Arabidopsis thaliana: one gene and its partners. The protein of the gene in region 1 interacts with the protein of each later gene in a pairwise test. Each region holds a gene or a part of one and is shown on either strand. Other genes may lie near its edges.

What was found. The genes of interacting proteins can lie anywhere in the genome.
Region 2: the proteins of ISU1 (region 1) and AT4G25680 interact in a two-hybrid assay, tested with the Arabidopsis thaliana proteins (one large-scale study listed by BioGRID).
Region 3: the proteins of ISU1 (region 1) and AT4G35110 interact in a two-hybrid assay, tested with the Arabidopsis thaliana proteins (one large-scale study listed by BioGRID).

Annotation. Positions count from the first base shown.
Region 1 is NC_003075.7:11,757,656-11,763,019, reverse strand, and holds ISU1 (SufE/NifU family protein), read left to right. Parts: upstream 1-1,962; 5' UTR 1,963-2,138; coding exon 2,139-2,436; intron 2,437-2,824; coding exon 2,825-2,879; intron 2,880-3,425; coding exon 3,426-3,576; 3' UTR 3,577-3,917; downstream 3,918-5,364. Other genes in the region: AT4G22230 (defensin-like protein), read right to left, coding at 363-565, 653-728; AT4G22217 (defensin-like protein), read right to left, coding at 4,054-4,241, 4,320-4,395. UniProt on the Arabidopsis thaliana protein: Scaffold protein for the de novo synthesis of iron-sulfur (Fe-S) clusters within mitochondria, which is required for maturation of both mitochondrial and cytoplasmic [2Fe-2S] and [4Fe-4S] proteins.
Region 2 is NC_003075.7:13,085,561-13,091,613, forward strand, and holds AT4G25680 (PPPDE putative thiol peptidase family protein), read left to right. Parts: upstream 1-2,412; 5' UTR 2,413-2,864; coding exon 2,865-2,999; intron 3,000-3,597; coding exon 3,598-3,859; intron 3,860-3,948; coding exon 3,949-4,016; intron 4,017-4,098; coding exon 4,099-4,392; 3' UTR 4,393-4,601; downstream 4,602-6,053. Other genes in the region: AT4G25670 (stress response NST1-like protein), read right to left, coding at 1-437; AT4G25690 (stress response NST1-like protein), read right to left, coding at 4,861-5,436.
Region 3 is NC_003075.7:16,710,963-16,716,824, forward strand, and holds AT4G35110 (phospholipase-like protein (PEARLI 4) family protein), read right to left. Parts: upstream 3,830-5,862; 5' UTR 3,355-3,829; coding exon of another isoform or gene 3,341-3,354; 5' UTR 3,264-3,340; coding exon 3,241-3,263; exon of another isoform or gene 3,048-3,240; coding exon 2,902-3,047; intron 2,822-2,901; coding exon 2,526-2,821; intron 2,439-2,525; coding exon 1,698-2,438; 3' UTR 1,453-1,697; downstream 1-1,452. Other genes in the region: AT4G35120 (Galactose oxidase/kelch repeat superfamily protein), read left to right, coding at 5,844-5,862.

The DNA.
Region 1 (5,364 bases):
TTAAACTTTGTTAGGAACAAGTATTTATCAGTTTCTCCCTTAATTCAATTCTTATTTGTATAAATCATAAGACGGATAATTTAACATTTGCAAGAATTAATGTACTCGTATAAAATTCTTTTTGTTGATTTTTTCCCCTCCGATTTAGATTTCAATTAGACAAAAATAAAAAAAATAAAAAAATATGATGAATAGGTCAGGTCATAATCGGAAAACAATCCAACTTTATTTAAGACTTGACAATTCAAAACAAACAGATCTGTAGAAGGCAAACACTCAAATATAGATTTTGAGCTGAAATCATTAACATGCAAATCGCAAAACACAGACACAAAGTGACGTCGTTTTGTATCATTTGCAAATCACATGCTTTCCTTTTCAGCACCACGCTGTACATCACGGCAGCAAACACATAACCCCATACCAGTAATACCACCAACAGGTATGCATCGGCCTCCAATAAACTTGCTGTCCAATTGCTTGCATGGTTCAATACAAGTAGAGCTCTTCTCATAACTATTACATTCACCTTTATCGTAGTCACACACTTGCCTCCCATCTACTTCTGTCCAATCAATAGGAAGATACTACATTTTATAAACATGTTTTATTTTAGATCTTGGGATCAAAGACTTTGGTTTTTTTTACGTACCTGTAGGAGATATGAGGAGAATGGAGAGACAAACGACTACTGCAATAGCGACTGTGCTCAACCTTAAGCTCCCCATTAATTGCTTATTAGTTCTTAGCTTCTTTCTTTCTATTTTGTTTCCCTCTCTCTCTTTGTGATTGATTCATTTAGGCAAAAGGCGAGTTTTTAATTTATAGCTAGCACTGGACAAGTCGTTGGGATTAAAATGACGTAAGATATATGATTTTAAGACAAATCATTTTAAATAGTTAACTGAATACACCCCCGACTCTTATTGTAGATGATCAATACTATTGTATTGTGTAGATAAAGATAGATATTTAGAATCTTTCGTTTGATTTCTTCATTAAATTAGTCAACTTTTAGATACTAATCAACAATGCCAAAGAAAGTGGTAGATGCTAAATCAACGGAGACCAAGCGCTCATCATCATCATTGATTCATTTTTCCTTCAATCATATTTGTTTGTTTGTTTTTGCTTTTTATTAGTATATCTGAAACCTTTGTCCAAAAAAAAATATTATATCTGAAACCAATTGCATGCATAATGAAACTTAAATTTTTGTTTGTTTCTCGGTACCACATGTTTCACGGTATAGATGCATAATGAACTCGTGTCTTAAAATAACTTTATATTTACGAATCTATATGTACTACTTTAAAAAATACATATTAATATATTTTAAAATCCATATTTCTCAATCCTCAACTTAATTTGCTATCTAACTCGCTTCACGAGAAGCTTTCCAAATCTCAGATCTATTACTTGATCTTGCTTCCAATCCGTTCCGGTGGTGCCGTCTAAAAATAACAGACAAATATATTTGTTAATGTTGCAAAACGACTTTTCAAATGATCAAGATCAACCATTAACCAAATATATGTTTACCATAGGACAATGCACAGTCGTAGATGGCTCCTCACAACTTATCTAGACGAAGACATTCGCCTATAATGTTGTTATAGCCTATAACTTATAGGTTTAATTGTTATGATTAACTATACGTTAATGAATTAAGGTTAATTTTAAATAGACTGTTTCATCACTTGAAATTTGAGAACTTTCTATACACATACTAAATCATCATGACTATTGTTTGCGTAAAAGAAGTATGTTCCGATTCAATTGTAAACTTGAAAAGTACGATTTATGAGCGATAGGTCTTATAAACTATAACATTTGAAGGATATCAAAAATATAATTGAAAAGAAAAAGTCAACTTATCAAAATCTCAATCTAAAGTTTAGGTTAGCGTCTCAAGTTAGCTAATACTAAAAGAAAAAATCAAAGGAAAAAAAGAAAAGAAAAAAGAAATAGCAAATATCTCAGAACCATCTAAACCGTCCACGTGTCCCCTCGCTTATCTCTCTGTCTGAAACCAAACCGACTTCTTCTCACAACCCTTAAAGGAAAAGTCCGATCTCATTTCTCATTACCAAAATCAGCGGAGCAAAAGTTACTTCCGAAACCCTAAAAAAAACACGATGATGCTCAAGCAAGCTGCGAAGAAGGCCCTAGGGCTTACGTCACGTCAATCAACACCGTGGTCTGTTGGTATCCTCCGAACCTACCATGAGAACGTCATCGACCACTACGATAATCCCCGCAACGTTGGGTCTTTCGATAAGAATGATCCCAACGTTGGTACGGGACTCGTAGGAGCTCCCGCTTGTGGTGATGTGATGAAGCTTCAAATCAAGGTCGATGAGAAGACTGGTCAAATCGTTGATGCTCGCTTTAAGACTTTTGGTTGTGGTTCAGCCATCGCTTCTTCATCTGTTGGTATGTTTATATTCTAATTTCGTGTTTTGTTCGATTGAGGATTGAATTAGAGAAATTAAATGATTTCAATTAGGGATTTTGATTAGTCTTTCTCAAATGGAGAAATTAGGTTTTAAATTGATGGGTTCGTGTAGAGATTCGGTGTTCAAATTTGGGATTGGTGTCGTTAATGACAAATTAGTGCATGATTTGGTCAGTTGAGACGTTTTTATTGGTGATTCAATGCTGAATTTGTAATACTCCTAGTCTCCTAATGTTATTGAGAAAGATTTCATCTTTTTGATGCGATGTCGTCAGTTTCTGGCTTAGCTTCTATGTGGGAGCTATCTTCTCTCTGGGGATTTGTTGCTGTTATCTAATGTATGATTCATTTTTACGTTTTTTTCAGCCACTGAATGGGTGAAAGGCAAAGCTATGGAGGATGTTCTGACCATCAAAAACACGTAAGTACCGTCTGTTTCTATTCATTTTATGCAGATATTAACATAATCTGTTGTGAGTTGTTGTGTTATGCCAATCAGTGTTGTCTAATTGGTTAAACTCATTAAATGTTGATATACCAGTTACTGTGTTTCATGACTGTTATTTTGTTTTGAGGAACTTGGTCACTGGACTTTGTCTGTTGGTACAATATTGGTTGCTGGTTAGTATGCCCTGTGTTCCTATTCATGTTTTGCAGATTTTTAACATAAATATGAACACTCGTGTTATCTAATTGCTGCACTCATTGAATGTTGACATACCTGAGACGAAGTAATGTGATTATTTTGTTTAGATGAACTTAGTTACTGGATTTTGGTCAATTGGTCTGAGATTGGTTACTGGTTTGGTTTGTATGGTATTTAAGGTTTTCCAGCCTATAATGATGCAGACCTCTTGACTTCTTTTTCTTAGACAAAGTAAACATTGTGATTTCTGTCATGGAGTTTCTCAATATCTGAAGACTTACTCTGAATGTGTGCTTCTCTTTCTGTGATTTATTTTGCCAGCGAAATCGCAAAGCATCTTTCTCTCCCACCAGTCAAGCTCCACTGCAGTATGTTGGCGGAGGACGCTATCAAGGCAGCTGTGAAAGACTACAAGGAGAAGCGTGTGAAGACAAATGGTGCTGCAGCAGCAGGAGAAACCACACAGGCTTGATTCCTTTTACTAGTGTGTATACCATAATGTGTATATGATGGTGAAAACAGGGGAGAAGTAGAAGAGGATGATACATACAACCTATGGTATGTTGTAATGTTCAAGACTTAAGGAGTATTTTAGAATAAACTCTGTTCACAGAAACGTGTAAGAATGATTTTGCTTCGGCCCTGTAGTTTTTGCTGTTTTATGCACCGATGTGATGTAATGTTTTCTCTCTTCTTTGGGAGGTTTATAAATTACAACTTTGACAGACAAATTTTCAATTTTCAATTTTGACATTATAATTTTCTCTGCATGGAACTATGTGGGTGTAGCTTGACTTATCATCTCTCTGTTCCTGAATTGTCACAAAACATCCAACCTTTATTCGAAACGTTATCTCTGTTATTGGATTAAGCAGAGTACAACAAACAAAAGCAAAGCAGAGTAGAACAAAGCGATGTCGATTATATGGTTTCGGAATCACATGTTTTCTTATTGAGCACCGATACTATCATAATAGCAGCAGAAACAAGCCGTCCACACGCTCGGCCTATCCCTTGGACGGCACTTGCCATCAAAAAAAGTCTGTCCAGCCCTCGTTTTGAACTTGATGCAACTCTCCTTGCAATCACGGAAAGGAGTACAAGCACCTAATGGGAAGTCACAGCTTCCATCCACTTCTGTCGACACGAACAGCCACATACATTTATAACAAAAACTTGTGTATCTATGTAGTTAGAGATCTTGATTTTACGTACCGGTGGGAGATAGGAGGACCGATAGACAAACGACTATTGTAGCAACAACAACTGTTCTCAACCTCAAGCTCCTCATTGCTGATCTCTCTTTGTGATTTTATCAGCAAAAGGCTTTCAATTTATACGTCTCAACCAAACACATTTTCTCTTCACTACTTCTACATTATTAATATCTAATTAAGAGTCTCCACGATGTGATCCACCTCGCCTATAATTATATTTTCTAGACACAAATCAAACATTATCCATCTCGTCTACAATACTTTTTAAGTTTTAACGTGAAATATGCTCGCTATATGTCCATAACTACAGTACATATAATAAGATTATGTAACAAGACGTACCGGCATGTCACACATAGAATTTCTCACGTGTATTGAGAACCTAACTGTATAGTTAGGTTTTCATGCTTTTTCTTCTATTTCGCTTTGCGTTGAGACGATTATGAGGGATGATGTTGAAGGAACTACTTTTCCGCGACAAGTCCGTAATTAATTTATTTTTAGATTCTTATTAACAAAATCCGAAGATTTTTTCTGGGGAATTCACCAAAAAAGAATTCTAAATAATATAAATTCACAACAATATATTTTATTCAAAGTTCATATGTATAATTTTACATTGAGTTCTTTATATTAAAAAAAACATTAATTATTACTTTTAGTTCCATGTGACATACTAACTCCAAGATCAATAAAGGGTGATGAAAATGTCTTCTATAAGAATCAGGGTCAAAATTAAAAATATCTAAAAATAAAAGGTTTAGATAGCAAAGTTTTCCTGGTTCGGTCTGTTCTCTGTTCCTTTTTATCTTCTTGGCGCTTTTGAAAAATAGAAACCCGCCACTAAAGCGTCAATCTTCCACGTGTCCCACTCCAGTGCTCTGTTTCATATCTTCGGAGACGTCAATCTGACTTAGGGATGCTTCAAGTCTACCATGTGATTTATTTTTACGAAGTAAAATTGCTTACCAATGGCTGTTTCTCTTATTAACTTAAACAATTGTTCCAACATATTTGGGAAGAATGAATGTATAGAAGGTTCC
Region 2 (6,053 bases), 1.3 Mb from region 1:
CTCGTGAATGGCGACCAGTTACTATCTCCTAGTCCATAGCCATTTGACACAAACCCAATCCCTTGAACCGCATAGCTAGCACAGCTTTGGCGAGGAACGTAGTTAGTTCTTTCATCTCTAAACAGATCCATTGTGAAACCCTTTTCTTCACCAAACTTGACTCGAGATGAATCATCAGAATCTTCGCCCAGTAGGACGTGCAGAGCAACAGCTTCTGCAATTGCAGCTCCTTCTTCATCTAACCTTTGTTGTTCTTCCAATCTCTTCTGCTTCTTCTTTTCAAGCTCAGCCCGGATGGCTGCAGAAGTAGCAAGAGCTTTCTCCAAACGTCTCTTTTTCTTCTCAGCTTGTTTGATACGATCAAATTCATCTTTACCATGCTTCTTCTTCGCTTTCCTAACGACTGGCTGAACTTGCTTGCACACCGTGTGATCCATTATTGCTTGACTATAAATTTCTAACTAAAAAACTGCACTAAACTCGATGATGTTGTAGAGGAACTCAAGAACTACACCCACTCTGGTATATAGGAATACCTCATGGTGCGGACAATACAATCCCAGAAAGAAACAACAGGAGACAACTGAAGAGAGAGGTTATAAGAATTCGCAGACTTATTCTTCGAAATCATTCGTCCAACATTCCCGCACCCCTTAGACTCGCCCATTTTCTGCATTGACAATTACTTGATTAGTTTCAAGTTGCAGAGGAGTAGTAACACAGAAATCCATAACATCAAAATCTGAAAGCCAAAACAATAGCATTCAAACTTGTAAAAGCTAACAGTTGTAGATAGACCACCAACCAAGCAGACACAATTGTTCTAATGACCTCGAAAGACACCAAAAGTCCTAAAGAAGTCAAACAAAATCAGCCACCAATTAGATTGAAGATAGTCAACAACAGCCAAAGAGTAAAACCTAATGATTACTCAAACCCTAATTTCCCAGAGTAGGAGCAAAGTTGAAGAATACAAAGGGTATCCATCCATCCACAGAAAGAGTTAATTCCACGGCAAATTTCAGGATCTCTCTTAATCCTCAGCTAATAACTCAATTAAGACTAATGGATACAAATTACACAAATACAGACACCAGATCTGCCGCAGAAACTAATTTTCAGATCAAAATTAACCTCAATTCAACAAGAACAATAAGAGAAACAATCGGATTTAATCCATTATGTAGGTCTAAGATCCATGAATAAGCATAAGATCCGAGGAAGCTAATCAAAAAGACTTTTAACGAAATAAGTCAATTATATTGAAAAGATAAAGGGAAATTGAAGATAAACGGAGAAACAAAGATGATGATGAAATTTAGATCCAAACCTCGGCAATATGGCATAGAAGCAGCTGCCTTCAAAGAACTCCTTTAAATTAATCGGATAATACAGAGAGATAAACAAAAACGCAGAAGTAAAGTTGCTGTTTTGATGCAGAGAGAAAGAGAGAGGAATTTCGAGAGATAAAAAAGAAGAGCAGACGAAGAAGACGAGAGAGAGAGGATAATAGAAGGAATTATAACTAGTACAGAGAAAGAAACGCAGCGCGACTTCTAATGAAATGGGGACACGTGTCGAATGATGTCTGACTTTTTTTTCAAGTGTAAGTTTTCAATTGGGACTTTGGAGACTTGGCCGGTGCGACTTCGTCTACTCCCAGTATTTTGTGGGTCCTAATGAGGGCTATTAGCAGCCGTTAGATCCCCCGATAACTGTTTTGAGATGTTTCCGGTTCCAACTTTTTTTTTTGTCGACTTCCGGTTCCAACTTTGCAATATTTATCATGTAAGAAAGAAAATTTGAGCCTTTCACGAATATGTACAAGTGTCATGTTACCTTACATTACAATAAAATATAAGAGCTTAATTTGCATTCAAAGTTTATCAACTTGACTAAGCTTTGTTTGTGCTTTGAGCATCCCATTCAAGATTCATCCACCAAAATGAGACTTTGAATACACTTTTGATATAACAAAAAACTTGGTCGAATTTCTTTGGTCCTAATTTATTTCCTGAATCCCATCTGTTGTACTGGGCCTAGGCCCAATTGGCCCAATATGTATGTACCATAAAAAAGAAGTCATTAAGTTTTTATGATTGACTTTTTTACATAGAAGCAAAATTATAAATTTGGTGTATGAATGGATGGACTAATTCGAGACGAATCAGATGGCTAACGAAAACCAGACTTGTGTCCGTTTTGCATTTTCGAAAATTATCGGAAGAATCGGTCAATTGATTACCCTCTTTTTTTTTTGTTTACCCCATTTTTTAATAGTCATGAATCATCTTCCTTGGTTGTGTCAGATTACTTAAGTCATTATTTTGTTATAGAGATGCTTTACTAGTATTTTTGATTTGTTTTGGTAAGGACACTTGTCTAGCTAAAGAAATGTTAGTTAAATGAAAGAAAAAAGGTTCAGTAGTTGACCCGTTTAATCAACTGCGAACAACGTTCATACTAATATAATTTGTTACCATAAATTCATAATCTAAACGCGTGCTTAAGTTGTAAACAAAAGGAATTAACAAGGGACACGTAAAGTAGCAATTCCGCAGGAAAAGCGAGGGTAAAATTGTCATTTCAGTGGATCCCCACCACCACCACCACCGCCGCACCAGTTTCTTCTTCATCTCCTACGTCTGAAATTGAGAAATCGGAAGAAGAAAGATAAGTCTAATCTTGTGCCTTTAGATTTCTTTTCGGGGAGATCTAGTAGTTGTTGGATTCGTTAAACGGAGAAGTGGATTTGGTACGAGTCTTTAGGTTTCCTTCTTCACCAAAAGCTCTATATAGAGAGAATCTGCGAGCTCTTTTTGGTAGGAAATTAGGGTTCGTGTTGCTTGGTAAATATAGAATCAATGACGGAGGTTGTTCTGCATATATACGATGTGACGAACAGTGGATCGGAGAAGACTAACAACACCATTGTTCAGATCAATAGGTTCTTCAAAGACGGGATCGGTCTTGGCGGTATATTCCACAGCGCTATTCAGGTACTACTCTTCGTCTATATTCTATGAATCTACATTTATGTACAATTATCGATGATGTCTAAGCTTGGTTTTGGTCTACTTTATGTAGATTTGGTTTTTGTTTCTGTGTATGTATGTGGAAATTAAGAAGTTGACGGCATGATACTTTTCTTTTGATATGTGAGGCTTTAGTTTAATGGTTTATGGTCCTAAAGGTCTGGAGCTGAAGTCTCTCTTTTGCTCAGGATCTTGTGTTTCCTAGTACTTTTGGTAACTTTCCATATGATAATGATTGCGATATATTGACCAAGTGCTCTCTGGAGACTTGTTAAATCCAATGATGGCTTACGTTTACTTCTGTGATCTTTGACCTGGGCAAATATAATTGCATATACCACTTTCCCATTTGAGTCGTGACAATTTGGTGTATTCCAACAAAACTACCAGAATTTAGGTTTTCAAGTTAGTGCTAATCATTCTATGTTCTTAGGTCTGTATATCTATGCAATATCATTTGATTATTCTTGTTCATGGTTTTGTTATTTTTTTGTGTCTTGTAGATGACTATTGATTCGCAGGGAAGAGTGATTGAATAGAATATTTTATGACCTTTGTGCAGGTATATGGAAACGATGAATGGTCTTACGGGTATTGTGAACTAGGAACTGGTGTATTCAGCTGCCCGAGTGGAAAGAATCCAATGTACACATACCGTGAGAAAATCGTCCTTGGCAAAACAGATTGCACAATCTTCATGGTGAATCAGATGTTGCGTGAACTCAGCAGGGAATGGCCTGGACACACTTATGATTTGTTGTCAAAAAATTGCAATCACTTCTGCGATGTACTCTGTGACCGGCTTGGTGTGCCAAAGATCCCAGGTAAAGCCATTTTTTGGGAATCTGGTGTGTGTGTGTGTGTGTTTTGTCTTCAAGGCTTATGTGACGGCTTGGGTTCTGTCTCTTAACAGGTTGGGTTAATCGCTTTGCTAATGCTGGGGACACAGCCTTGGAAGTGGCAGGAAACACAGCAATGCGGGTGGGTTCCCTTTTGTTTAGCTTCTCTACAACGTAAATGCAACATTATGGGTGTTCAAAACTTGTAAATTGGGATTTTGCAGATGAAGCAAGCCAAAACTGAACTTGTGTCAGCTAGTAAAGTGGCTTATCGCTTCCTCTCGAATGTTACTTCGAACGTAACCAATGGCTCCAATGGCTCTCCACAACGACCGGGAACTCTCAACAATTCAGACAGCGGGAACTTGAGATTGCAAGGTAGTTGGCTCAAAGGCTTACTTAACACAGCCAAACCCTCCACTAGTACAGAGATAGGGAACAAAGATGAAGATGCAAATCATGCAGTCACCAATCAGAAGAAACAAAGCCGTGACTCTGATGTTCTACTGTTTCAGTAGCAACCGTACCGATCCACCACAATGCATTCGGTTAGCTGTATATCCACCGGTCTAAGAGTCACGCACTATTCTCCTCGTCTGTACCCATTACTCTGTATCAACGTTGGAACCTGTCATTTTTTCTTGAGTTTTTAGCTCACGTGTGCTTTTGTTAAGATCATTCTCGCTTGTTACTGTCAAATCTTAACATCAAAAGGTTTATTAGTCTCAATACACTAGAAATTGTGACTGAATTTGGATAATCACGTGATTCAAGAGGTACTCTGTAATCTGTATAAAACTTAGAACGTATTTGTGAATGTTACAAAGAGAATTCAGAAAACATCTTTTCAGCTAGTCTAACATCAAAAGATAAACAACGAGGAGGAATTTTCACACCAAAAGGGGTTCTAGAATAAAGAAAAAAACTGCAACTCTACTCATAGCAAACACTTGTTTCTGCAGCCAAGTTTGGCACGATGGCTTTTGTCATCCCCCGAACATCGTCTCGAAGACATAAGCGTTCCTATCAGCGTCCTCAGATATCTGTAGTGACGAAACAGCCTGAGCAGCAATCAAATCTGCAGATATTACCATGTTGTTATCCCAGACATCCTTCATGAATGGCTTATATGACACTGACCAGTTACTATCTCCTAGTCCATAACCATTTGACACAAACCCAATCCCTTGAACCGCATAGCTAGCACAACTTTGGCGAGGAACATAGTTGGTTCTTTCATCTCTAAACAGATCCATTCCGAAACCCGTTTCTTCGCCAAACTTGACTCGAGATGAATCATCAGAATCTTCGCCCAGTAGGACGTGCAGAGCGACAGCTTCTGCAATTGCAGCTCCTTCTTCATCTAACCTTTGTTGTTCTTCCAATCTCTTCTGCTTCTTCTTTTCAAGCTCAGCCCGAATGGCTGCAGAAGTAGCAAGAGCTTTCTCCAAACGTCTCTTTTTCTTCTCAGCTTGTTTGATACGATCAAATTCATCTTTACCATGCTTCTTCACTTTCCTAGTAACTGGCTGAACAACTTGCTTGCACAACGTGTGATCCATTATTGCTTGCTATAACTCTTTGATTCCAACTAAAGTAAAATGCACTAAACTCGTTGTCTAAGAGGATTTCAAAGACTACAACCACTCAGGTATATAGGAATACCTCATGGTCCGAACATTACAATCCCAAACAGAGTCAACAAGAGACAACTCAAGGGAGAGGTTATAAGAATTAGCAGACTTATGATTTGGAATCATTAGTCCTCCTTTCCCACACCCCGTAGACTCTCCCATTTTCTGCATTGACGATTACTTGATTAGCTTATAGTAGTTGCAAAGGAGAAACAGATAAGCCTTGTGCATAACATCAATCTTAAAGCAACAGTCAAAACAATAGCATTCAAACTTGTAGAAGCTAACAATTGTAGTTGCAAAACATTCCACTTTATTCAAGGAACATAAAAAGACACCAAGTCCAAAGAAAGTGGTCAAACATAAATCAACTAACGATTTCAACAGTCAACAATAACACAAGATAGAAGATACAACAAACAAGCTAATGCCTGATCATTTCAATGGATGCAAACTAGAAGCAATCAATCGAGAGTGACCAGATCTGCCTCAGAAACCCATAATTAAGCATTAAATCTGATGAACAAATGAAACTGCTCGAAAAA
Region 3 (5,862 bases), 5.0 Mb from region 1:
AATACGAATTTGTCTACATGGAATAGTAGTAATAATTCACGTCTCGTCTTTTCAGAAAAGTGAATGCAGAGGAGACAGAGAGAGAGAGAAGGACCACAACGATGGCCTTCACGCTTTTACTGGTTAATACGCCTAGTGTCTCAGTTTTAATTTTAAATACTTAGCCGTTATGATCGATTCTTCGTTATCTCTTCTTAGCTTCAATATGGTCCACTCATTTTGAACTTTGTAAACCCTAGCAGCTTATGAAGTATGAACCATCATATAGTTGGGCCTTAAATTTTGTTTTATAATAGCTATTGCTTTATTGGTTCTGGATAATAGCAATTTTGCAAGTTGCAAAATACCTTATGTGACCGGCCGGTTCACCCCTCTGCTTATCCCTAAACCGATTTACTTTAACCGATCTGATGCTGTATAGCTAAAAACATAAACTTGAAACAGACAGCAGCTGAGTGTGAAACTTAGTTGTCTGTCCATTTTTTTGAAAGAAATGATGTCATAATATGTTGACAAAAAACATCTTCAACTTTGGATATAAATCACTAATTCAGACTTTTTAAAAGTTGCGAACTTTTTTAATCATTCCATGTTACGGATTATTTTTTATGTGTCTGGAAAAATTGGCTGTCAAGGTGATTTCACGTGATAACTAATTTGTTTTTTTGAGGTCATTTGCCATCTTGTGAAAGCCTTTGGAGCCTACTTAAAGATTTTATTTTATTTTTTCTAGTAAAGACGATTGAAGTAACTGCTGTCTATTAGTTAAGATCTGAATCTCCAATGAGGTTATTTATAATTACTTACTCACATTGTGCAACAAAACCAAGCACAATTTGTGGTCCACAAACCTTTATCTGGAGGTTTCTGGTTCAACTTCTCCGGTTTACACTTAAATCTTCGTTTCGTGAGCAAACCCAACGGGGAGCTTCCCGTTGGGCCATGTTTCAGTGGGCTCGGTGTAAAGCCGACATGAGTAACTGAAGCCCAGTAGCATTGTCGCAAATAACAGATTGATTTGTCCGTTGCAAACGGTTTAAAAGCAGAGTACGATACTTTGTTACTTTTAAAAATATCAAATCTAACAATTATGTAACAAAATCAACTAGTGAATAACATAAAAACATAAGATATATTTGGCTTTAAAATCCCCTAAAAATCATCGTTATGGAATAACATCTACTTTTCGACAAAAACAAAGTAACAAAAAAATCGAAGAGTAGAGCTCAAATTGAGTGTAATAAAGAATGAACTCAACAAAATTATTCATTCCTTTATTTTGCAAAAGTGTTGTTTTGACATTTTCTATACACATATTTAAAAGAACTATACTATACAATATTCAACAAGTTCTGCTATAACTAACACAATAAATATAGTTGTGAATTTAATTTTTAATAAACAATCTTTCGTTTTCCAAACTCGAAGGCAACTTGTAATCTTTCCCATTATAGAAAACGAAAGAAACCAAAAAAAAAAAAACATAACCAAAGAAAAATGCATCACACAAATCAAAACGTATTTATTAGCAACAACCAAATATCTTAATATTTTTTATAAGTTACCAATAAATACCAGCTTTCCCATAATACTTAAAAACCCTAACCTTAAAAACTCATTTATTAGAGCATTTTTGATTTTGTGCTATTACCTACTACCCTTGGCTTACTACTAACAACATCACACACAACTCAAACTCACAGAAGCTCATCTATAAACGATTTCCCTTTAAATTTCTCCATTTTGAATCCCATTTTCTCCATCCTCAACCGTTCTGCTTCGATCTCAACCATCTGAGCCCGCGTCTCCTCAATCCGCCGCTTCACTTCCACCACTTCCTTCTCCATCCTAACCAAATCCGTTTCTTGAGCCTCAAGCTCTTCTCTCTTAGCCTTCACTAAACCATCATGCCTCTCTTTCTCATTTTCTACATCTTCTTGAGACTGCGCAAACTCTTCAAGAACAGAACGTAGCCAAGCTACTTCAATGTTCACAGACTCCAAGTCTTTGAGAACCGCAAGCATCTCTTTGACCTTGACTTTGCTCAACTGCCCTACCGGGGTTGACCTAAGTTCCTGCATCAGTGAGCATAAACACTCGAGGTAACGTGATCGCATTGAATCCGATTCCAGCTTACAGTTTTGAGCAATGTCTCCGTGCTTTTCGATGACAGCACTTAGTATAGTGGATGAACCCGATCTGACTCGGTATTTCCCGACAGAGACAAAAGTGTCAGACATTACTGATTCGAGATCGAGCTCTACACCAATCTCATTGTTGTTTTCGTCATCATCATCAGAAAAATCATCATTGCTCTCTTTTCCAGGCGATCTTGGAAGGCTTAGGAAACTAAAGAGTCTAGTTTCGCCGCCTTCTCCAATCTTCCCATTGTGTTCTTGTATTCCCGGTTTAGGTGATACCACTTTGCTTTGATCAACCTTCATAAGATACAAGAATCTTGATGTTTACAAATATGGTAAAGATATGGTGGTCGAAATCATGGAAGAGAGTAAAGGATGAGATACCAAATTGTTTGATGAAAGGGGAATGGTTTGAGAAGGTTTCTTCTCTGGTTTATGGTTGAAGAAATCATCCGGATCACCGGATGATGAAGAAGTGAAAGAATTTTTCGTTTCAGAAACAATCTTCTTCTTCACGGAAGCAGGTGGAGCTACAGAATGATGAACCTTTGGGGAATTACCATTTGCAAAACCGCCTCTGCCGTTTTGATAAGGCCTTGCGGATAGCGGTGTAGGCGGTTGTGAATTCGACTCCTTCTTTTTCCTACCGAAACTCCCTGAGAAGCTAAGAAGCCTTGAACCTGTAACATAACAGAACAAGAATCAGAATCCATAAAGGAAAAGTTTTTAAAATGGCAAAATCAAAAGCAGAAAAAAGTACTTTGCTTCTTAGTGTTCTTCTTGACATGGCCTTGAGCAATTTTCTCTAAACAAGCTGAAGCACATTCATGGAAAGGATTATCCGCATATACGCAATCTGGATGAGCTTTTCTATTGAAATCCATAGCTTTTTGATGAATGGAACAACTGCAACAAAATCAAGATAACTAATCAGCTCAAAGAAGACAAACTCAAAGAACAACACAAGAACTTCAAATTTGTGGTGTCAAAGGACTGAACATATCACATTAAGGGTAAGTAAGTGGTCAAACCTTTACACCTTAATTTCAACAAATAGTTCAAAAAGATTAGACACTAAAAACTTATAATATACAACAACCTCCCAACGAAATTGGATTCCATTCATATTTCACCAACCCTTTATATGATGAAAGAAAAAAAGTAAAGAGGGAGATTGTGAGAAGCAGAGAGAGATTCACCAAAACATATCCATAAAGAAATTTCTTACGAGTAATAGTGAAATTGATCCCCACAAAACCAATCAAATCATAAAATGTATAGGTATAGAGAGATACAAAAAGACGACTTTTGGTTTGTTTCTTCTCCTTAATACTTTCATGGACCGACCATGCAATTTCCAAGTACAATTTTCCAGTGAGATACTAAATTTCAACGGTGGAAGCACTCAGTTATTGACTTAGACCAGAGTTAAAAGGTAGATTATTTTGACCGGCTTGTTTTCTTGAACAGACAAAAACTTCCAAGGCCCACCCTTGTGGATAATATTTTTTTAATAGGTTGAAATTTCGTTTTCCATGATTGTCGTTTGTCACAAAATTTCCTTAGAACAGAGCAAAGAAACAGAGCATATGACAATAAAACAGTATCAATCAGTTTCATCATCGATCATTGAATTAATTCTTAAAACAAAAGCAAACCCACGATTCTGATCGAGATCAAGAATCTATTTGTGGATCAAAGAACCAAACTTTTAATTCACACAAAAATGCAATCAATCAACAAACAGAGAAATAAAGAGAAAGAGAGAGAGAGATATACCAGGAGAATCGGAAGAGGGAGAGAAATGTGATGAGCGGAGAAAAATGAATAAAATGTTGATTTTTATTTTTGTTTATAAGGTATAACAGTTGTGTATATTATAAGGTTCATGTGACATTGTCTTTGGTATAATAATAATATGATGATGATGATGAATTGACCAAAGCCAATATTACCAATTGAAGATAGAGAGAAGCATTTAATTGAAAAGAGGTTGGAAACGGCAATCAATCACACACCTCACTTATCTTCCAGAAGTGGACAACAACGTGGGACGGTTATACAAATACGAGTGAGATTTTTAGAGTCGACGAGAATCGAAAGTAGAAATCTGTAACCACTTAAAGGAAAAGAAATTTAAGAGACAAAAATAAAGAAAGAAAGTTGTCAGTTAAAACGCGTTATTGCGTGTCATTGTTTGCATCACACGTGAGGTTCTTAAGAATCTCAAGTTCTTAACCATATTGCTATATCTCTTGTCTAATTTTATGCATAGAAGTTATCTTTTTTTTTGCTGTCCATTATTACTTAACCAATAAAACTTAGACATCTTTCAATTAATAAATATAGATAATATAAAGTTATGTTTACATTGGATCTCTTAGTATTTTTTCTAATTGTTGTTGCAGATAAGTATAAATCAAATCAAATATATAAATATCATTACTTGCGAATAAGTGTTGATACCAAATTTTCTGATAATATTATGGAGATTGCTTAGGTAAAACATATTTTTATGATTCAATCCGAAGGAAGGAAATTTTCTACCCGATTTGTCAAAGTGCATGCATGTTGATCCGATAGGAAACAACATTTATTATAGAATCTGATAAAAGCATCTTTTTGTTATTAATTGTGTCATCTTTCGTAAGTCGTAATTTTAGTATTAGTACAATATAGTTTCGAAATGCGAGTAGCTTATCCAGAAGCGATAAATGACCATTTCCCCAAAAATACTTTCATCCTTTTTTGTTGGGGGTCAGACTTCATATCATGAAGAAGAAGAAGAAGAAATACATAGAGTCAACTCTAGAGCGTTGGCTTTTAAAAAGACATGAAAAGATTTTGTTAATACTATAATGCACATTCTTTAAATAAATCATTTAGCAAACTACTCTAATACGACCATTCTTTTTCATTCATGCAACATGTCTTTTTCTTTCCCTGTTGTTCTCTAATTTTATTTTACTCTTCATTCATTTGTCTTCGTTGGTGTTTCTTTTTTCTCTTTTTTTTTTCCAGAAAATTAGATATTTATGACCAAATCCATATTTTTCTAATAAAAAATAGAAATATTGTCAGTATACCTGCACAATCGTGTGAACGAGTCACCTGAAACATGATAAATTCTTCTTTCCCCTAAAGCTTACTCGTGTCTCCATCAAGAAATCTTCCAAGAAAGAGACTAGTTTAGTGCATTGTTAGAGAAGTCTCAAATCCTATGACTATGAATCATCAAGCAAGTTACATTGTGTAAGTGTATCTTTCTGTCTTTCATTTTTTTTTTGTGTATACATGTACATTTGAAGGTATACCAAAATCAAGGGAGGGATCTTAAAAAAAGTTTGAAAGCAGCATAGAAAAGTTCTTTATACGATAAATCCATAGATTTTCTTATACGAATTTGGTGAGTTCGGTTTAAAAAACTGAACACCGAAATTCCAGTAACACAACATAATGTATATATAACGATGTGTTGTTAATTGTTATCGTTTTTAATATTACTTTAGTTTTCAAACCGGTTTTAACAGGGTTCAATACTGAAATCTGTTTTAAAAACGGGCGATTTGGTATTTTATTTTAATTCAGGGGACTTGTTCATTAATTTTAACTAAGGAGAAAATATTTCCTTTTTACTATTGTCTTATATAAGACCTAATTTGAGACCTAAAACCTGAGCTTAGTAAACACGGTATCGTTGCTATGGACACCGCCAAAGTAG